Drosophila melanogaster: one gene and its partners. The protein of the gene in region 1 interacts with the protein of each later gene in a pairwise test. Each region holds a gene or a part of one and is shown in the gene's direction. Other genes may lie near its edges.

Evidence for each region. The genes of interacting proteins can lie anywhere in the genome.
Region 2: the proteins of su(Hw) (region 1) and Topors interact in a two-hybrid assay, tested with the Drosophila melanogaster proteins (one study listed by BioGRID).
Region 3: the proteins of su(Hw) (region 1) and mod(mdg4) interact in a two-hybrid assay, tested with the Drosophila melanogaster proteins (8 studies listed by BioGRID).

What each region holds. Positions count from the first base shown.
Region 1 is NT_033777.3:14,302,986-14,311,649, reverse strand, and holds su(Hw) (suppressor of hairy wing), read left to right. Parts: upstream 1-3,060; 5' UTR 3,061-3,374; intron 3,375-3,441; exon of another isoform or gene 3,442-3,615; intron 3,616-3,679; 5' UTR 3,680-3,694; coding exon 3,695-4,552; intron 4,553-4,618; coding exon 4,619-5,046; intron 5,047-5,103; coding exon 5,104-5,236; intron 5,237-5,306; coding exon 5,307-5,497; intron 5,498-5,565; coding exon 5,566-5,690; intron 5,691-5,751; coding exon 5,752-6,842; 3' UTR 6,843-7,195; downstream 7,196-8,664. Other genes in the region: CG31321 (uncharacterized protein), read right to left, coding at 711-1,134; Polr2I (RNA polymerase II subunit I), read right to left, coding at 2,074-2,463; IFT54 (intraflagellar transport 54), read right to left, coding at 7,240-8,190, 8,256-8,664. UniProt on the Drosophila melanogaster protein: Component of the gypsy chromatin insulator complex which is required for the function of the gypsy chromatin insulator and other endogenous chromatin insulators.
Region 2 is NT_033778.4:18,970,868-18,978,872, forward strand, and holds Topors (topoisomerase I-interacting protein), read left to right. Parts: upstream 1-1,744; 5' UTR 1,745-2,071; exon of another isoform or gene 2,072-2,130; 5' UTR 2,131-2,459; coding exon 2,460-2,855; intron 2,856-2,915; coding exon 2,916-3,376; intron 3,377-3,443; coding exon 3,444-4,858; intron 4,859-5,025; coding exon 5,026-5,870; 3' UTR 5,871-6,395; downstream 6,396-8,005. Other genes in the region: prod (proliferation disrupter), read right to left, coding at 1-141; CG15107 (uncharacterized protein), read right to left, coding at 724-908, 962-1,319, 1,378-1,566; CG18605 (uncharacterized protein), read left to right, coding at 6,961-7,073, 7,149-8,005. UniProt on the Drosophila melanogaster protein: Functions as a ubiquitin-protein E3 ligase. Negatively regulates the transcriptional repressor hairy/hry by promoting its ubiquitination and subsequent degradation. Also directs the nuclear organization of the gypsy chromatin insulator.
Region 3 is NT_033777.3:21,373,292-21,379,103, reverse strand, and holds the start of mod(mdg4) (modifier of mdg4), read left to right. Parts: upstream 1-1,702; 5' UTR 1,703-1,816; intron 1,817-2,027; 5' UTR 2,028-2,071; coding exon 2,072-2,285; intron 2,286-2,362; coding exon 2,363-2,502; intron 2,503-3,191; coding exon 3,192-4,044; intron 4,045-5,528; exon of another isoform or gene 5,529-5,812. UniProt on the Drosophila melanogaster protein: Component of the gypsy chromatin insulator complex which is required for the function of the gypsy chromatin insulator and other endogenous chromatin insulators.

The sequences.
Region 1 (8,664 bases):
GGCGTTTATTCTAAAAATTGGGAATATAAGCTATTATCTATGGCTCAAACAAAGTGCCATTGACAATGGCTCTATGAGCCCACGAAAGTCACTCAGCGCACAACGATGTAAGGAACAGGTTTGGAGCGATTGCGATTACGATTACTAGGTATCCACTAGGCTGAGGTCTTTGGAAGCGGCTCCAAATTAATCACCCGGCAATAGCGATAGAATGGGGGAATTTTTGTTAGCACCATCAGAAGACAGAAGGCGAAGGAGAAACTTATGAGCGAATCGATTAAAGAAGGTAATTAGATGTTCGGATAACCGCTAATTTCCGACGACATCCATCAAAAGACACGGATTCCTTCAGAAAAAAATGTGCACTCAAAGAAAATGTGTATATATAGCTATTCCATTTCAATTTAAAGAAAGTTCTCTAAGATATTTACAATCTTATGCTTGAGTAAAGTATCTCAATGTCTTTCTAGTCCCATTATCACTTGATAATACTATTATTTTTCGAGTGTACCTAACCCATTCGAGGGGCAGGGGAAATTTAAAATGCAGAGGAGTCGAGATGTGAAAAGAATTCGAATTTAATTTAAGCACAAACCTGAAATATAAGCAATGCTAATGCCAAACCCATAACCGAAATCAAAACGGCGTATACTTAATGAACGACTCGTGTTATGTGTATGATATATGTGTATGTTTGTCGCCTGGCTTACCCATGGGAGCTCGTTTCCCGGAGACATCTGCCGCCAGGATCTGTGCCTCCAGTTCCGCCTTGCACACCGTGTAGTTGAAGCCAGTGGCTCCGATGACAAGGTCAGCGAGATCCGGCGTCGCGCCCTGTGTGGTGTTCTCGAAATCAAAGTCATCGCACTCGATGCCCAGCTCCGATTTGTCCAGCATTGTGTCGCAGACGATCTTGTTGTAGCCGAGATTCACGCGACACGCCTTGTCCAGTGGGAAATTCTGCATGGCCACCGCATTGAACACGGAGGCCATGAAGTAGAAAAAGAAGAAGGGCTCGATGACCAGATAGTGGCGATAGCGCCACAGTTTCTGGAAATAGTTGAGCTTGGGCTCTGCATCCACTGCTCCACTGCCATTTCCAGCCGCATCTGCCGATGACCTTGGCTTTGCCATTTTTTTATAGCACTTGCTGAATTCCTCAAAACTCTTATTTTTTATACGATTCTATTCGATTCGATACGTCTCTGGCTCGGCAGGTTGCTCTAGCAGCACATTTTAAGCGATTTGATCAACACGTCGCGCCAGGTTCTAAGCTCAGACTAAACTAAGCGACGATTCCGGGGATCGGGCCAAGCCAAGCCAGGTCTACTACTCAAATACTCAAATGGGCAGTCGTTTGATACGCACAAGAAACTTGTTCAATCATTTCTTCGTCGCTTTCGGTTCTTATTTTTTTTATTTATTTTGTTTGTTGTCAGCTTCGATTAGAGCAGAACAATGATAAATATGAAGAATTGTCACCGGGCCGTGAACTGTGGAATTCGCACATGCCTCGGGGAGATTCGTTGCTCGCTCAGTTTTACATTCATAGATTGTCAGTCATAGTACACATTCATTTATAAATAAATAATGAAGACATTTGAATACAAGCGGGCTGACTTGATTAAGTTTATAACTATGAAATCTGGTTTTGCAGTTTATGTTGCCTAAATATGCAGCTTAACCTGCTAAATTTTATCATAAACCCGGAACACTTTCGTTGTTTTCTCAACTGCACTTGAACATTTGATCATTGAAATTAAGTAGTTTTGCCAAAACATATAGTAAGATGATACAGCAGTTTTCTCGCAATGAACTTATATATTTATTTTTAAGACTGAGCTATTTAAACATTTATACAAACCAAATCGAAGTTCTTGCAAGTGATTCAAAGTCATGCGGATCACATGCATTTTTTTTCAGTGCGAATGTTATTACATTAGGCGACAACCGAGAATGGAGCTGCACGTGGGATGTTTTTGCGGCATAGCCATGGGGGAATTCCAATTGTACGATTGCAAAGTGCCTTCGATTACTTAGGGCTACAATTAGAGGCAGATGGGTCGTCAGTTTCTACTCCGTCCAACGGTGGGTGCAGTTCTGGTTGGTGCACACGTAGTACAGTCGCATCTCCTCTTCGGCGCGACGAGTTTGCGCCTGGAAGAAGACCGCCTCCCGATGGGAGCACTTGGGACAAGCGTGGTCTTCGGTGCGCGGCAGCGTGGGATCGGAAATCACGTCGGGCACAATGTGGGTCAGCTCGTCGATCTCGTGCATAATCTTGTTCACGTAGATGCAGTTGGAGTCCGCCTCCTGTTTGTAATCGCAATTCCGGCAGGCGTACAGCAGGATCTTGTTCTCCTTGTCCTCCTTGGGGTACAGCATGTTGTTGCACTCCTGGCAGAACCGAATGCCCACGAATCCCGGCCCCTCAGTGTGTGCGGCATCAAAGGCAGTCGTCATGGCTATTGGCTTACAATTATTGCTAGTTAATTGCAATTTGTGAGTTAATGCGGCTTTTATTTACCTTTTTATCGTTGCAATTGGCGAAAGTGTGACCGTGGCAAGGCGGCTTAAATATACCGAGATCATGGGATAGGTATACCTCATTAACATACTAGCCTTTAACCCTTGTGAGCACTGCTATTTTAATTATATGCTTATATATTTTGTTTTTTATTTTATCAAAATGCATATTAAAGAATGCATTTATTTGTATTTTATTCAATTACTTTTTGTATAAAATGTTAAACCTGATAATTATCTTACCGAGCAACGGCTGCGGTGGCCTTCGACTGAAATTATATATAAATAGTGAAATGTTCCATATAAGCTTTATTGTTCGGATCATTAATCTATGCTTACAAAGTTAACCAATAAAAAGTTAATATAATATTAAGCCAGACACCGGCTATTTATTTTAAATTTATGTTGGAATTATTACAAATTTACAACCCAGAAGATTCAAAACAGAGGAAATTTCTTTGTACTTTTCATGGCGGCATGTTCAGATTATTTTTTCACGGGTTGTTGTAATTAATGGTATTTTCCAACCTACATGCAACGGTCACACTGAATTTTCATACACAAACGCTTGTCGTGTTGGAATTTAAAGCATAAAATTAGGTAAATTGTGATTTATTATCGGAAATGCGGTCAAAACCCTTTAAGGAACGCATCCCGTGATATGAGGACATGTTTGTGAAGCAAATACCTTAGCCAGTGACTTGATAATTTCACGCTCTTTATCGGCGATGGCAGTCACTTTCTTTCGCTGCGGAGCAGAAAAGTGCACTTCTAATCAGCAAAATAAGTGGTTAAAACCGATCCTCCACGTCCTTCGCCGGCACAAAATCACATTAAATATTTGAAAAGTATGCTACGGATTTGCGAGTGTATTAGAATTATTTGCTACCCCTTTGAAATACAATTTTATTTCAGAAGAAAACTTGTTGCGTTTTCTGTGCGTCAGGCGCAGGTAGTGTTGTCTCGCTCACACCAAGGCCGATCGATCGTAAAGATCGAACAGCGCGACGCCATTTTTTCTTAGCAGCTTTTGGGCGTGTGTTGGTGACGCTGGCAAAATGTGATGTTCAGTAAATCACGTGCCTAAAAGTAGACTAAAGCGGTCACTGGTTATCCTGATCCTGAATTATCATCCAATCGATCTTAATTGCAGGCTGGTATCACCAACATGAGTGCCTCCAAGGAGGGCAAGGAAAAGAAGGGCAAGCTGCTGGGTGTGGAAAACATTTCGCCGCCTAAGGACAAACGTCCCGCCACCAGGATGAAGCTCTTGAATGACGTGGGAGCTGGTGAGGATTCGGAGGCAAGCACTACTACTACCACATCAAGAACTCCCTCCAACAAGCAGGAGAAGCGTGGCAGTGTCGCTGGATCGCGCATCAAAATACTCAATGAAGAAATACTGGGCACTCCGAAAACTGAGAAACGGGGCGCCACAAAGAGCACAGCTCCGGCTGCTTCCACTGTGAAGATTCTGAACGAGAAAAAGACACCCAGTGCTACCGTGACAGCCGTGGAAACTACCAAGATCAAGACGTCTCCCAGTAAAAGAAAGAAAATGGAGCACTATGTACTTCAGGCTGTGAAATCAGAAAATACCAAGGCGGACACCACGGTTACCGTGGTCACCGAAGAAGATGACACCATTGATTTCATTCTAGCGGATGATGAGGAAGTAGTTCCGGGCAGAATAGAAAATAACAACGGCCAGGAGATCGTTGTCACCGAGGACGATGAGGATCTAGGGGAGGATGGTGATGAGGACGGTGAAGACTCCTCAGGCAAGGGCAACTCTAGCCAGACAAAGATCAAGGAGATCGTGGAGCATGTGTGTGGCAAATGCTACAAGACCTTCCGTCGCGTTCAGAGTCTGAAAAAGCATCTAGAGTTCTGTCGCTATGACAGTGGGTATCATTTGCGCAAAGCCGACATGCTTAAGAACCTGGAGAAGATCGAGAAGGATGCCGTGGTGATGGAGAAGAAGGACATATGCTTCTGCTGCAGCGAAAGTTACGACACCTTCCATGTAAGTCATAAAGATTGATACCAAGAGAAGTAAGCATAACTTTCGCATACCACATTTTCCTTTCAGCTGGGTCACATTAACTGTCCCGACTGCCCCAAGTCGTTTAAGACACAGACCAGTTACGAACGCCACATTTTCATCACTCACTCCGAGTTCAGCGATTTTCCTTGCTCCATTTGCAATGCCAACTTGCGCAGCGAGGCCTTGTTGGCGCTCCACGAGGAACAGCACAAGTCACGTGGCAAGCCGTATGCATGCAAGATCTGCGGCAAGGACTTCACCCGCTCGTACCACTTGAAGCGCCACCAGAAGTACTCATCGTGCTCATCGAACGAGACCGATACCATGAGCTGCAAGGTGTGCGATCGTGTCTTCTATCGGCTGGACAACCTGCGATCGCATTTGAAGCAGCATTTGGGTACACAGGTGGTTAAAAAGCCGGAGTACATGTGCCACACGTGCAAGAATTGTTTCTACAGCCTGTCCACGCTGAAGTAGGTTTTCTAATTGATTTTAAAAGACATAAAGTAATGTTCGGTATATTTTCGCAGCATTCACATACGCACTCATACGGGGGAGAAACCATTTGACTGCGATCTTTGCGACAAGAAGTTTTCTGCATTGGTGGCCCTTAAAAAGCATCGACGCTATCACACTGGCGAGAAACCATACAGTTGCACTGTGGTTAGTCTTAAAACTTCCGTAACTTTTCATTTAACCTATTGTAACAATGCGGTATTCTATTACCTTTTAGTGCAACCAAGCATTTGCCGTAAAGGAAGTGCTCAATCGTCACATGAAACGGCACACTGGAGAGCGTCCGCACAAGTGTGATGAATGTGGCAAGAGTTTTATCCAGGCCACCCAGCTGCGCACCCATTCCAAAACCCATATTCGCCCCTTTCCCTGTGAGCAATGCGACGAAAAATTCAAAACAGAGAAACAGTAAGATATTAAAAAACCTTTTATCTTTTCTGTTAGCCCTACTTACTTATTGCAATTTTGTTTCGCAGACTTGAGCGCCATGTGAAGACCCATTCTCGCACAAAACGCCCCGTCTTTTCCTGCGCCGAGTGCAAGCGTAATTTCCGCACTCCAGCATTGCTCAAGGAGCATATGGACGAGGGAAAACACAGCCGTAAGTTGGAATCGACAATTGGCAATAATCAAGGCTTTAATCCCGCTCCTACCCTTTGTAGCGAAACAACAACGGTCATCAATGCGATCGGCCGTCAAAATTATGGAACGCACGGATTGCGCCATTTGCGATAAGAACTTTGACAGCAGCGATACCCTGCGACGGCACATACGCACCGTTCACGAATGCGATCCGGATGACATTTTTGGCGTTGAGCCGCATCCATCAAAGCGGGCAAAGAAGGACATCGAATCGGAGGAGGTTGTACCAGTGGCGTTAAACACATCGGCGGGCTCGTTAATTTCTAGCCAAACGGACGGGAATGGCGTTGTGGTGCGTGAATTCCTCGTGGACGAAGGCGATGGCGCGGCCCAGACCATTACACTAGAAAACGAAACATACACAATTCTGCCCCTGGACGGGGCCATCGAGGGAGAGCAGCTGACGGATGAGGCTGGCGTTAAGCCCGAGGCGAAGAAGGAGGAGGCGCAGGTCTCGCCGGTGGTAAAGAAAGAGCAGCGTAAATCCCTGGCCGCCAGTCTGGCCGCTGCCATCGCAGATAATTTGGAAGAATCATGTAGCGAGGATGACTTCAGTGGCGAAATTCTAACTGAGGAGGACATAAAGCTCAAAGAGAATGTGGGTAAACTTATTGATATGCTAGTGGATCCACCGATCCTAAAGAAATACGGCTGGCCCAATGCCCCCGAGGAGACGGTGCTCTGCAAAGTGATCGAGAACTGTGGCCACGACCTAACCAAAGGTGGCGAAAACTACGCTGAGCTTGACTACGGTAGCCGCATGCGAGAGTACTGCAAACTGCTCTTTACCGTGGTCATTCACAACGATTCCATCAAGTCGCTGCTCAATAATTTCCCCATCGACGATGTGATCGAATATGTACTGGGAGATGAGGATCAGGACGAAGGTGGATTGGACAAAGACAATGAGTCACATTCAGGTGATGAAGAAGCGGTGTCGGTCACAGGCGAAACTAAAACAAATGAAATCAGAGAGAAACCGGAAAAGAAGGAAGTTTCGGCGAAATCTGAAAAGAAGGAGATCGTGGGGAAAGCTGTGGATAAGGATAACTCAGAGGAGGTGGTCCGGGAAAATAAGAAAAAACCTGTAGGCGAACAAGAGAAAGCTTGATTTTCCAGCCCTTGATGCATGCGTACAATTACCGCACAAAAACCATATTCTAGGAATTGATCGTTGATGATTTTTACAACATTTGTATTTTTAAGATCGTTGGTTTTGGTACAAACACCAAGTGACCTTAAAAGAGAAACTTACCGTCTGTTGCTTGAATATTCAGACATCTTGCGCATTGACAAATTACCCAAAAACAAACAAACCAACATATTACATATCAAAGATATTTTGATATTATTATATAGATTTTATATATTTTTGAATTGAATGATGTTACCAAGCAATATATGCATGGCTATTTTTATAGTACTCTTATTAATTATAAAATATACAAATTCAATATTTTCGATAAAACTCTCTTGAATTTTTAACAATGCTTATTAATCCTCAATGCTTACTGTTCCATCATCAACTTCAGAATACGTGCGTTGTTTTGCAAGATCTTGTGGCGACTCTCGTCGATTAGCTCCCGGTACTCCGCAATGCTGGCTTGGATTTGCTGCAACTGATGCTGCAGGGGCTCCGTGGCAGATGCCGTGAGAGTCTGCTCCCTTTTTAGTTCCGTGGATGCCTGCGTGTAGGTGTCGCGCCACATCGTAAGCTCCAGCTGCATTGCATCAAAATCCTCGGGTATGCAGTCCAGTAGTTTACCCAGCGGACCTATCGACTTGGTGAGCTTTTGGACTACGTCGCGTACGTCGTTCACCTGGCGCGCAGAAGTTTGTCGGCCTGCCTGTGCTGGAGGCGGTTCCACTTCGGCGCCTTGATTGACCAGTTCCTTTTGCGTTTCCAAGATCTGCTGCACCAATCGTCCCTGGGCATCGAGCTGTCCTTCCAATGCCGGTTCGTCACCGCCACCTTCGACAATATCATGGGCGGCGGAATCTTCTATGATCACCAGGTTCTCTCCGTCGTCGTCCAAGTCGCCAAAGGTTTCAAGCTTTACATTTATGCCCGACATTTTGATCTGATCGTTTGGCTGGAGCACGATCTCCACATTGCGACGTCGTGGAGCTCCGGGACGTGCGGAGGCGGGTCGAGCGGATGGAGGTCTAAGTGAGGTTCTGGGCCGTTGATTCACTTCCTTAGAGTTCTCTCTGGTGAGGGGAACCTCCCGCTTCGCTTCGCCGCTGTTGGTCTCCGGTGGAGAGCTGGTTTCTGACGACTGCACCGCTGGCTGGGATTGGCTCTCATTGGGAATGGGATTAGGTTCCGGTTGCCTGTGGCTGCCACTAGAACGGCGACTTCTGCTAGAGGATTTGCGACTCTCAGGCTCAGCTGGTGGAGCAGTTGGAGTTTCCTGGACAGGTCTCACCACTGCCTCCTTCTCTTTTAATGGAGGAACCTGTTTGGGTATACGCATAACTTATGGATTTCTAATTTTAAAGCAAATTAACTTATTTTTCTTACCATTTCCGGCTCTGGTTTGCTTGGAGCACTTTCGCTTGCAGCAGGCTTGGTTGATCCTTCTTCCACTGGCGACATAGACTGGCTAAGATTATCGCTCTCTGTTGAAGGCTGCAGTTTGGCTTTGGACTTCTGCTTAACTGGTGACGGACTCTTTTGCTTCGAGTTTTGTCGACTTAACTTCGTCTCATCCTTGGGTGCCTTGGACTTCTTCTGGGATGCTTTATCCTTCTCGGTGGGGGGAGTAGAACGGGACACCTGTTCTTTGACCTTGCGCAGCTTCTGCTCTTGAGGCGATATACGTTTCTCCTTGCGTCGCTTTGCATCCTCATCCTTGCCGGCGGGTGAGGGATTTTTGCTTGAATTTTTAGTTTCCTTCGGTGGCTTGGTAAGCGTCAGTGGTGTTTTGCTG
Region 2 (8,005 bases), on another chromosome or scaffold:
CTTTTTGGTCAAGTAGTTCAGGTCATAGTCGCGCGGCACTCGTCCGGTGGCGAAAATGGGGTCGCTCTCCATCATGTCGATGTACATTTGGTACTGCTCCGATGAGGTGCGTTTCTTGCGGCGGTCCATCTTGCCGTTCATCCGGGTATCCTTGCTCTGTGCCTGCGTGCTCGATGCCGTGTTTAAATAGCTGGCAAAAGCCCTAAAATGCAAATCGACGCCACCAAGCGATGCGAGATGTTCACAAACAATTTACGCATTTAGCGTTTGGGATTTTCTAGTTGCATTTTGTTGCTGTTGGCGCAGGGTTGCATTCGGCACGCCAGTGGTGCGCATCTGGCGGGAAGCCAAAAAAGCAATTAGATGCCATGCGATAGTTATGGCTAGATGTGCAATAAATAATTCAATTTTGTTGCAATAAAAACATGCGGATTCAGAAATGATTTGTCACAATATTTATTAGCGGTTTCATATAAATCAATAATACATTTCAAAATATATGTGCAAAAAGTATTTCGTCGAACGATATGCATAACAACAGTCTTAAAAACGACTAATTGGTATATGGTACACACTACTCAAGAATTTGTTTTCAACGAATGCCTACTGTACTACTTATTGAGCGTTCCGCGGCTTTTAATTCGAGGCGAAATCAGCAGGTCCCTCTGAGCTCACATATTATATTACATTATACATTATATCAATGTGCATGGCTAGCATGGGCTATAATTCCGGAACGTACTCGAATCCGGGATTATTGTACTTGAAGCGGGCTATCTTAAAGTGCAGCGATGCCTCGTGTATGTCCGAAATGCGTTTCAGCTGCTCCTGGATTTTCTCTCCATAGAAGGCAGACGGTTCTTTCGCGGCAGATTGATCAGATGTGACATCCGCGACTGAAATCAAGGCTATGTCCCTTTATAGGATATTTAGTATTTACATTAGATTTGCGTCTACCCACCTTCGTAGATAATCTCACTGGAACCATCGAGCCTTAGCTTTTTCGCGGCACTGTGACCATTGATGATCGTTGGGTTGGCTTGCTCGTGAGGCTCTGCTATGAACTGCTGGTACTGCACCTCCTCCTCCTCCTCCTCATCCACCAACTCCTCCAGGTTCTCATTCTCTTCTTCATCCAGTTCCTCTTGCTCCTCCATCAGTTCGTGCAGGCGCATCGAAATTCCCTCGCGAAAATTCGGTTCTAAGGAGAAGATCTGCAGGGCTCTGTTCTCCAGAGGAGTCATTGCATTGCTCTTGTCATCCGAGTTGATGCTGCGTCGGTATTTGGAGCGCGTGCTGTTCTTCCAGTCGTTGAGGCGCTATAAGCATGACACACTGTGGGCTTGTACACTCGATACCCAACTGGTTACAACATACCTTTCGCCATTCCTCGGGCGACAAAGTGGGACCCGTGGAGCACTTGTTTAGCAGATCGCTGAGCTCCTTCCACTTCTTGCCGTCCTGGGTGCGACTCAGTTTGTTGGCCGACATCGGGGGATTCTCCTCCATGAAGTCTAGGTATACTTCGTATTGGTAGTACGACGTCCGCTTGTTGCGTCGATTCATTTTGGGGATCCAAATTATGACCAACAATTGAAAACAAACAAATTGAAACAGACGCCACAAAAAGGCAATAAAGCAACGAGCTATCGATAACACAAACAATTAAGGCTCCGAAATTAAATACCAAAACCGAAATACCAAACTATTTTAGAAAATATCAAAATAATTGTTTGGTTCTCCTAGGTTCGAAAAGAAGTTTCTTGGAATTTGTAATTTACCCGCGCCACAATCTCACAAGATTGTGTAATACATCTAAAAATATTTATTTTTCTCAAAATATCACATTTCAATTTATAAAATAAATTGGTCTAGTTCTTTAAGCATTTTTTGTGTATTTCGTAATTTTTGTAACAAAGCTAGTCCTGCTTTTTCAATCAAGTTCAATCAGAGGGTAGAACAGCTAGTAGAACCGCTGACTCAACATATTTTCCAAACCTTTTTTATTTAAAATTTGTATTCTGAAGTAATTCAAAAGTATATCAATCTCCGTGGTCTGCAGCATTTAACTGTACGCGACGAACGGTATCACCGTAGTGGTCAAAAAAATCAAGTTTCCTGCATTTTCAGGTGTAAAATTAACTGAGATATAGTGCGATTTCTGGCCCGAAAATTGTGCTATTTTACAGAACAGGCCACTGACCACCACATAGACCGCAAGAGAATACGGATAATGCGTCCCCTAGCCCGGAAAAGGCCGCTGGAAAACGAGGATTGAGAACCGAATTGCGAACCAGATGATAGAGTAGCGTGCCAGCCAGCGAGTGCGAGCGAGAGAGGGCGAGAGGAGCAGAGTGAGAGAGAGAGGAGGACAGAGTAGACACAAAACTTCAGGCCCGAGTTCTCGCCCATCTTACGGCCGATTTTACAGCCCATATAGCCGCTATATAGTCGCCAGAATGGCGGAGGAGAATCCCGGAGCTCTTGCCGCCAACGTGCCCTATTTGGGAGTGGATGAGTTGGGCGCATCGGTGATTGTGGAGCCTGGTTTGGAAGGATCCAATGCCGGAGGCCGGACGCTACCGGCTGCGGCCATTAAGTTTGCTGATCTCACCGAGAGCGGCAGTGAGTCGGGAGACAACGAGGCCGAGGAACCTGTATCCGCTGGCCCGGATAATGCCAACGCCATCGGTGAGCCGGGCACCAGTGCATCCGCCGCGGAGGAGAACGGAACAGTAGAGCGCAACTCGCCGCCGCCCAATTGCGCCATCTGCTTGTCCCGCTGCAGGAGGAAGTGCTTCACGGACTCGTGCATGCACCAGTTCTGCTTCAAGTGCCTGTGCGAGTGGAGCAAGGTAACCAGTCCGCAGGCGAGTAAACCATTATTTTAACCATCTAATTATTCTCGATTGCAGATAAAGCCCGAGTGTCCACTGTGTAAGCAGCCCTTCAGAACCATCATACACAATGTCCGCACCCTGGACGACTACGATCGCTACCCGGTGCAGACTACGTCGCCGGTTCCAACAGAAAATCCCTCCCTACGTTACCACATTGTGAGGCGTCCCAGGTACACGCCGCTGGTGCAGAACCAGGCCGTCATTGTCAACGACATCGAGGCGGCCATAGCGGCAGGAGCTGCTGGTGAAGATGTGCTTTCGGCGGCAGAAGTAGCAGCTGGCAGGCGATCGTACAGCCGCTTTGAGCCGTATCGCTCGGAGCTGATGAATTACTACCAGCACGATCAGGATGCATCCACGTCGGGTTCATTGAGCCAGCTCTGGCGACGTTATGTGTACGATAGAAAGCTGTATGCTCTGCCCGTCAGCGACAGCGTGACTGGACACTTTCGAGAGTGGAGCGCCCGTTTTTACAGGTCTGTTCGTATACCTAAAACCGCATACTTAACCATACTGATTTCGATTTCAAATCCTTGCTTATAGAAACAATCCTGCTCAGATTCATCGCCTGATGCCTTGGATCCATCGCGACATCATGTGCCTACTGAGGAATGCCGCACATAGCGTAAATACTGTGATGACTCTGATGAGCGACCTCCTGCCCATGACTAGCTTACTAGGTCCTACATTCCGTCGACGGCTGTCGCCGTATCTCGGCGAGCGCACCAGTCACTTTATCCACGAACTGTTTAACTTTGCCCGCTCCCCGTATGACATAAACGGTTACGATCATGTGGTGCAGTATTCGGCACGAGTGGCTGAGGAGGTGGAGGTGGATCTGTTGGACATGGTGGAGACACAATCCTCGAACGGTGATGATCTGAATTTGGAGGTCGGAGATAGCGATGCGGATGCTATAAACGCTGGCTTCTCTCCGGATTGGAGCCCCCCTAGGGTACGCCCGTCGACCAGTGTGATTGTGACCAATCCTGGTGCCACACATTCCTTCAGCGTGACAATGGCCAGTGATGGCAGTGAGCTGCCGGGGATTTCCATACGCCGTACAACCAATGTGGGCTCACAAACGGTTGCCATTAACCTGAGCATGAGGCGCCCAGCGGCGGTTGCCAGCGAGGAACCAGAGGTCATCGAGATCGACGACGGCGATGCGGCCGCAAATGCAGAGGTGGCGGCCATCAATGATGGCAGCAACACCAGTAGGAGACACGCAGGTGCTACTCTTCCAGTGACGGCGCACATCGAACTGGAGAGCAGCAGCAGTTCCGGCGATGAGGATGAGTGCGTCTTTGTGCTGGAGCTGAAGCCACCACACATGCGCACTCCCGAACAGGTGAGCCTTGACTCAAATAGTGACTCCGATGTGGTGTTCGTAAATGAGCAGCACGAAGCTGCGCCGGACGCAATTGCCGAAAACCGGTCGACACAATCCCCTTTGGATCTGGCCTCCAGGGATCAGGGCCTGTTTATGGGGCCCAGCACAAGTGGCGCAGCGGCCAACAGAGGCAAGAACTGGAAGCTGGTCATGGCGCAGACACGGCGCCTCGATCAGTTGCGCACGCTGCGCTCTATACGTTCGAAGAAATCACGCCGTTCATCCATGCCTGCCCGCAGTGACAGTGGCAGCAGCCCCAGCAGCTGCAGCAGCTCCTCCTTTCACTTCAGCAGCAGCAGCGATGAGGATAGCAGTGACAGTAGTACCACCAACTCCGAGCCACCCAAGAAAAAGTCACGCAAGCGAGTGGCGAATAATAAGCGCTCTAAAAAGGAGTCAATCGGGAAAAGGACATCTCGTAAACGGAAGGCCAAAGACCAGAATATGGAAATGCTTGAGCAGCAGCAGATAAGCCAAAAGAAGCCCCAGCGCCAACCGGAAAGCAGCAGTGACAGTCCAAGTTCGTCCGATGACGAGTCAGGTGGCGATAGCAGCGAGTCATCCGGTAAGTGGTTTGTGAATCTAGACGGTTCTTATCAGCATGTATGAATGTATGTATAACACCACACATTCTGAACAGGAAAACACTAGAATGATCTCTAAAAACAATCAAAAAACTATTTATTATCCTATCAGATCAAACTTGTATAATTACACAAATTTGTTTTCTAGGTCAACCCAACACGAACAACAACAAATCCAGCAGCGATTCCGATGATGATAGCGCTGTAAACATGCAGCTCAGTGCCTTGCGCGCCACACTAAAAGCGGAGGCAACTCTGGAGGATAGGAAACCTGTAAAACTGGAGCTTCAGTTGCCGGATGACGACCAGGCGGGGCCCCTCCACTCACGGATGACTCCATCGCCGAGAGAGGATAACGAACCGGGTTGCAGTGCACCGAAACGGCGACGCAGTTGCAGCCACAGCAATCAGTCCAGCCAGAGTGCCAGTTTGGCCAGCAGTTCGACAGCCACCTCGAGCTCGGCTCCATTAAGTTCGTTTGCCTGGGGAGCAGCGGGCTTTTCCGGCGATCCGCTGATGCGCGGACATCCGGCGATGGAAGAGCACGACATAGCCAACTCCCTAATCGAACTGTCCACTCTAACGCAGCCTGTGAACATCGGACTCTTCAACGAGCATTATAATTCGGCAGAGAATTCCATGGGCATGCTGAGCAACACGTTGTGCGACAGCCCACAAACTTTGGCGGCGGATGACGCCAATCTAGAGAACTATTTCGATACAGATGCGGATCCGGAGGCCAGCCGTGAACGGGATGCCTATTCGCTGGAGGCCGCAATCGATGTAGTTGGCGAATCAGAGTTGCAAATCGCCGAGGATACAGCCACTGCCACCGAAGAACAAGATGAGGAGGACGAAGAGGATGAAGATCAAGAGGAAGACGACCAGGAAGAGGAAAAAGCTGCGGAGGAAGAAGAGGAAGAGGAGGAGGACGACGATGATAGCGACAACCACGATGAAAACGATGAGAATCAGGGACTACTGCCGTATTAAGCATAAGCCACTGATTTAGATTTTCATTTAAGTTGCTAGTGTAAGGGAATGTTTAACTGGTTTCCGTCTTGTCTTGTTCCGATTCCTGAAATCCCCAAACCCCATAAAATAATATTTGTAATTGTAACTCATGTATTGTAGGCCTAAGATTGCCATTTTAAGTTGTACATACATATATAAACACCCATCCCAACATTATTTAAATGTTCTGTCATACATACATATACCACCCCCCCCCTTCCACATCAAAAGACGCATTCAATATCCCCCTGAAGAACATCGATTGTAAATGTATTCACGTAGGTTAGCGGCATCTATAACTAACTAACTATAAACAATGGCAACTAACTTTACTATCGTAGCTTTTAAATCGTAGAATTAGCGCTGATCAATGTATGAGGAGGGTGTTAATGTTTTTTGCATAAGTGGGCGTGGCCAGTTATGAATTTTAGTGTACTCAACATACAATGAACAAAAGATATCTGTAATACGAATCAAATACATAATAAATGTAAAGATTAAATTAAAGATAAATAAGTGTCATTTCATATTTCGTAAAGTTCTAAAAGTAATTCTCATTGGATCAAGGATGCCCCCCGGCATAGGCACCTTGCGCATTTTTTTTTTTGTTAAATTTATGCATATTTTGTTTCAATTCAATGTTTCCAGTGATTTCAGAGTATATTCGATTTCCGATGTCCCGATTTGTCACGATTTGCAGGTTAATTTATGGCATTGTCTAAACAGTCCCTTACTTTCCACACTTGACATTAGGCATCGTGTAGATGCGCCCCAAATAAAAACGTGCCACAGAGCCGTTGTGCCTGCGCAATAAGCAAAACTTTTTCGCTGAGTTTCAATTGGAATTGTTTAAAGAACGAGCTAATTGTTTAATTCCTATAAGGTAAATACTGTATCATATTGCACAGCTGGAAAAGTTCCATTTCGCGAGCGACAGTGAGCAGTGAAATCAGTATTAAATCGAATTTGTGATTGACAATTCCAGGAATTTTCGTTCACGTGTAAAGTTTCTGTTTCTGTTTTTTCTTCGAACAATTTCGACATTGTCGACACGTGGAGTGCAGCAACAATGATGCCACGGCACATGGTCCAATGGCGCATATATGTCTACGCCAATTCGCTATATTCTCTGCCGGATCGTGAAACGGGCGACTTTCGCGGCTGGTCCCCCGAATATTTCCGGTGAGTGAAAATTTCCTCCTCCAATACAAATAAGGGAAATTTCAGCCATGTTCTCATTTCTGCATTTCCTTGTAGTCTCAATCCCTTCGAGGTTCATAGGGTAATGATGTGGGTGAACCGCGATGTATCGGTGCTGATCAGGACCAGGAAGGCGGATATTTTCTATCTGTACGAGACCATCAAGAATCTGCTTCCACGTCTTAAGCTGGACAGCGAGGAGTTCCGAAAGCCCATGATCCACTTTTTTGGCGCCAATACGGACCTTTTCATCCACGAACTGATCAACTTTGCCCGTTCCCCGTACGACACTCTAATGGCCTATGAGTGCAGCACACAGTACCGGGCCTTGTTGGATTTTGATAATGGTCCTACTACGTCGGCGAAGTCCAGGGATCGCGAGTTTTTGTCGACGAGACTGCACAGCTTTGTAGAATTTACGCGCCGCATCAACTACGACGATTGCGGTGGCTTTGAGGCGGATCTGGAGCTGGAGGATGAGGATTTCGGCGAGCTCGACGATATGATGATGGAGCGCTATGGTGGTGCTCCGTTCTTGATGAAGATGGACGGACAGCTGGTGACAGCCCGAATCATACCGAGCTCACAAGCTAATGCACCTAACCAGGGTCAGGTGAATCAACAAACTCAATCCCAGGCCCAGGCTCAGGCCCAGGCACAGGCTCAGGTCCAGGCACAGGCTCAGGCCCAGGCCCAGACTCAGGCTCAGACTCAGGCCCAGGCTCTGGCTCAGGCCCAGGCTCAGGCCCAGGTCCAGGCACAGCCACAGGCTCAGGTCCAGCAGGCAGCAGCTCAGCCTGCCCAGCTGCTCCTCCCTCAGCTAACGCAGGCGGTGATCCAGACTCAGCAACGAGCGGTTCACCAACCCCAGCAGTCGGGACAGCAATCAGGACCTCAGCATGCCTCATCGACCG
Region 3 (5,812 bases), 7.1 Mb from region 1:
AGCGCAACCGTAAGTGAGTCGTAGCCCGTAATCGGCAATCAGTAGTCCGTAACCCGTAAGCCGTAAAGCGCCGTTCCGATGCGCACTCGACCGTGTCTGCAATTTGTCAGCTCGATTTTGGTACTGAACGCGTACTCCTTTCACCCCAGACCGCCTCATGCCACTGTGTTTTTGGATGTGTGTGAGCGAACTGAGCATACGGGCAAAATGGCCGCCCCGGAGCCAATCACAGCACAGCATCGGAATGCGAGTGCGGCATCTCGCTCTTCTGCGCTAGAGATGTGCGAGGCTGTCATATGCTTAGGAGATTTATAAAATATGTATCCAAATATAAAAAACTAATTTATGTATTACATTTGTAAATTTAATCTAATAGCTTAAGAATATATATGGTATTGACAATATATTTTAAGTTCTGTCCATCACTAATTCCAAACATGTATGCTTGTATGCATGTATGAAAGTATCTTTGCACAATCGCACACATTGTACCTGACTATCAGATTCAATAACCGACTCCTCCAGCTGCTCCCCGTTGTTATTAGTTGTTTGTTCGCAGCCACTTTATGCTGATTTTGTTTCGCTACTTGAGCTTAAGTATCCGTATTTATTATCGTAAAGTCCTTAAGTTTTATAGTCCCCATGTATTTACGTTTGTCCGCGCGTCTTGTGTATTAAACGGTTGTCAAGTGGCGCTCAAGTGCAGATTTTCGCACACTTGATTTTAAGAGTGTACTAAGCTAACAAATAAATAAATCGTGGGGAATATGTTTGGTTTAAACGTTACGCTCTCATATATTATTGTTTATTTCACTTGAAACTGTTATGATTTAATAGAGATGAATAACATGGATATGTGAAGTTGTCTAAATAGAGCAACATTTTTAATAATATTTCGCCTTTATGGGATGAATACCTTCATTTCGAATCTTGGCATTGCACCAAAAACGTGTTCACATATGTATATAATTGCATATGTAGTGCATATGTACATACAGTACACAGATATACATATTATGTACATACATATTTTGTTTGGTATGTTTAAGAACTTTTAGCGAATATTTGCCTTTCTTATAATCCTATTAAGTCACTTTTTTTTTAAAAATATAGTGCCCTTGTGCATTCAGAGTGTAGGGTTTACGTAGTGACGATGCGCTCCATAAGAGTTTGTCAGAGTTATAATGAATTCCGCTAGAAAATAATCCTCCATTCGTAAAAAATCGAAGGCCCAGTTTAAAAAATAGGAGAATTTAAAAAAGTTAAAATTTTTCTGTTTATCTTATGAATTTTATTCTAGTTGTGCTAGTTTGACTGCTAGTCTTTAAACTCGTTAATTTGTATTTTGTTTTATTTCATTTAAAATAAATTAAACATTAAGCTAGACAACAAAACTGTTGTGAAATAAGAAATTTCGTCATAACATAAATACATCGTATACTTAGGCCGATATTTTCTTAGTCCTACAACCTTTTTTAACACACCCGCAAACTAAAATCCTACAGCATATGTAAACTAAAGTATGTAAAAGTTTTCAAAAAGTTATGAACTTAATTATGTGATTTTCGTACTAACATTTAAAAAAAAAATATCAAAGCACATCAACTATCAATATTCATAAAAGTATTTCGATATAAATATTTTAAGCTATCGATATATTGTCACTTTTTGTTTTGCCATCGCCAGCAATCTCGTCGCCTGGTAACACTTCTAATTTTCACGTCAAAGAACTCGGACGCGTTCTGCGTGTCGGCCGCGCTAGCAAAAAACTCTGGCTTTAGTTAGTTATTTTATTGGAAAAATATTTAGTCAAGAGGTGAGTAATGGCGCCCCAAGTGAATATACACAGTAGGTTGCGGTCATTAAGCGAGATAAATGTAATTTACACACACGCACACACAGACAGACGCGTGAAAATTTCCCAGTTTTTTTTGGCTGCAGTGCATTCTATTTTGTGTGTGCCTTTGCCATTTTTCAGCACTCGCTGCATTGAGTTTTAAACGCGCATTGCACTTTTTCGCCTGCAGCCAACAAACGCATAGATACAGAAAAGTATTGATTTTCGTCCAAGATGGCGGACGACGAGCAATTCAGCTTGTGCTGGAACAACTTCAACACGAATTTGTCGGCCGGCTTCCACGAGTCGCTATGCCGCGGCGACCTGGTGGACGTCTCGCTGGCCGCCGAGGGCCAAATAGTGAAGGCCCACCGATTGGTGTTATCCGTCTGCTCGCCCTTCTTCCGCAAGATGTTCACTCAGATGCCGTCGAACACCCACGCTATCGGTGAGTTTGTGCCCCTCAGCTCAGATCTGTAGCTCTACGTGATTTTTTACCTTATACTCTCTTCGCCTATCTTGCAGTATTCCTGAACAACGTCAGCCACTCGGCGCTGAAGGACCTCATCCAATTCATGTACTGCGGCGAGGTCAACGTGAAGCAGGACGCCCTGCCCGCGTTTATTAGCACCGCGGAATCGCTGCAAATCAAGGGGCTAACGGATGTGAGTATATGTATACATTTGTGTGCGTGATATACTGGTATATCGAATCGAGCAACTACAACGCAACCTTTCGCGCCCAATACATACAGACGCGATGGCTGGCGTCTGTATAAGAGCATGGTTTGACTGTACCGAGAAATTTCTCGCAAACCAAATGCCAAAAGGCACGCGTGCCAGAGAGAGACAACTGCAGGGGCTATACGCGAAGCGTTTGTCTCGCTCTGGCTCGCACGGCAGCGGCAAATTGGAGTGGTTGTTTTTGTCTCGCAGCGAATTCGATGCCAAAGCATAAACATTTTTTGCTTTTAAACTAATGTTTAAATTGGGAAATATCTCTTAATGTTTTCGACTAAAATTAACGTATTTGCAAAATTAAATTTAGTGCAGCTGTACCTAAAGAAACAGGCATCGGAACTAGAAAATGTATTATTGTTTCCCAATTCAAGGAAGGCGTACTTTACTAATTAATGGCCAGATTTCTTATTTCTTTGCAAATTCCATTCTAACGGAATAATTCTTTTCAACATATAGTTTTGAAATCGTCCATTTTATTAAATGCAGATACTTTTAAAGTTTATTAAGTTTTGATCGTGGTTCATTTTTAAAGAGGTGCTAGAACATACAAAATATCTTTTCACTTATTCCTAAAATATATGTTAATAATTAAAAAACCAATATTTTTTTTTCAGAACGATCCTGCGCCTCAGCCGCCGCAGGAATCCAGCCCGCCGCCAGCAGCACCTCATGTACAACAACAGCAAATACCGGCTCAGCGGGTGCAGCGCCAGCAGCCTCGCGCCTCCGCCCGCTACAAGATCGAGACCGTGGACGACGGCCTGGGCGACGAGAAACAGAGCACCACCCAGATCGTCATCCAGACCACGGCCGCACCCCAAGCCACCATTGTACAACAGCAGCAACCGCAGCAGGCGGCGCAGCAGATCCAATCGCAGCAGCTGCAGACGGGAACCACGACGACGGCGACGCTGGTGTCGACAAACAAACGCTCTGCCCAGCGCTCCTCCCTGACCCCCGCCTCCTCGAGCGCCGGCGTAAAGCGCTCCAAGACAAGCACCTCCGCAAATGTTATGGACCCTCTCGACTCGACCACTGAAACTGGAGCCACGACAACCGCCCAACTTGTGCCGCAACAGATCACCGTGCAAACCTCTGTGGTCTCTGCGGCAGAAGCAAAGCTCCACCAGCAATCGCCGCAGCAGGTTCGACAGGAGGAAGCCGAGTACATTGATCTCCCCATGGAATTGCCCACGAAATCTGAACCTGACTACTCTGAGGACCATGGCGACGCCGCCGGCGATGCCGAGGGCACCTATGTGGAGGACGATACTTACGGAGACATGCGCTACGACGACAGCTACTTCACTGAAAACGAGGATGCTGGCAACCAGACTGCGGCAAATACGAGCGGTGGCGGAGTGACGGCGACCACTTCCAAGGCTGTGGTCAAGCAACAGTCCCAGAACTACAGTGAATCATCGTTTGTCGACACCAGCGGGGATCAGGGCAACACAGAGGCTCAAGGTTGGTTGAATTGCAAAGCATACATGGCCAGAGGCCAATAGATATAAGCAATATTTAAAGGACATTAAGTCCGCTTGCGAAATGCAAACACGTTAAAAAAAAGATCACATATGTATTCCAAACTTGAACACTTTCCAAATCTATTAGCGTCGCAAGCGGATCATGTCCTTTTAGAGTTCGGCAAAGTGCGTTTAATTTTGTTTTGAACAAACTTAAGCTATACTTCGCTGGCCATTAGTTAATAAGTAGTTTACGGGCCTGTGTTCTATTTCGAATCGACAAAGAGCACTAGGCAGATCTGCTGTCCGATGCATATTTGTTAAATGCTGGACGGAGATCGCGCGGTTTTACACTTATTCAGTTAAAAGGTAAGTAGAGTGATGAAATTTTAAGAAGCTGCTACGATGGATATCTGATGTCAACGTGAAGCCGAACCCGTGAAGAGCTGCAACTACTCAAGGTAATACCGGCACTCTTAAAACCACACCTATCCATATATTTTTCCAAAATTTGCAGGCATTTGTAATTGTTTATTTGACTGAGCAAAGCGAGTAATTGGAGTTTTCAATCTTACATGATCAGGGGGTTATTATTTGGGCATGCGCATTTCTGTTTAATAATGATCCTCTGGTGATGCTAAGGCTACTGAGGTTTGTTGTTATTTATGTTTTCAAACTCGTACTTAAAGATGTTGTCTGGATTTGTTTAAGCAACGTAAAAGCTTGCTGATGCAAATCCAGCAACGGCATTGATTGCCGAGTCTTAAAAAAAAAATTGTATTTATAACGCTGTGTTATAGTAAAGGTTCATTTCTAATCGTTTTAGTGGTCACGTAAAAAAAAAAGGAAAGATTTTAATAATACGTATAGGGAGACTCTTTTAACGTTATCAGTGGAGAGGAAATTTATTTCTTCATGCAGCGTCGATTCTGTTTTACTTTTTGCGTGCTGATTTTGTTTTTTCATTCCAAATTTTTTGTATGGAACATTTTGCGTGTTTTTTTTATATGGTTCCGAATTAAAGGGTGTCTGAAGAATTTCACGATATTTACGGATGTCGCGGTAACCTTAAACAAAAAAAACAGAATATACTAGACCTCTTACCTAATTGGTAAGAGATAATCATAAACCGTTTTAATTCATATAGGCGATAGTTTATATACCTTGGAACAAAAGGTTGGACCGCCTTGAAGCATTTCCGACTTATATTTCCTTTATTTGTAGTAGTAATTTTCGTTTTTTTATTGTTAAGCGTATTTGAGAAAATTTATATTAACGTTTGAATCGTGTAATTTATATTTTGCGCGCCTGGTCCGGATATTTAGAAAGTATCCACAGAATATATTATATATATATTTGTAGTATGAAAAAATAAAGAATTAAAATTTGAATTAATGCGGAGTTGCCATTTTGTGGAAATTGAGGACGGTGTTGCCACTTCCGGAAACCCTAATTGAATGTGCAGCCCTGGTGCTTCGGCTGTGTGGCAACGCCGTGCAAATTCATTAAAAAAATGCAAGCCAATTTGTTTTGTTATTTTATTGCATCCGAATTACACGGCCTATTTGTTCACAATTAATTATTTCCAGCTTGTGACGGTGTGTTTGGTGTGGTGTTTATTTAATATTTAAAGTGATGGGGCTGGTAAGGGGGGCAACGCCTCCCTATTTCCACCCTTTTGATAATCTGTGATAGTGCTTATTTGAAAACCAAGCGATGCAAATGCTACCGTAAGTTGTAAAATGCCATCCCGCCGCATTTTGGTAAGT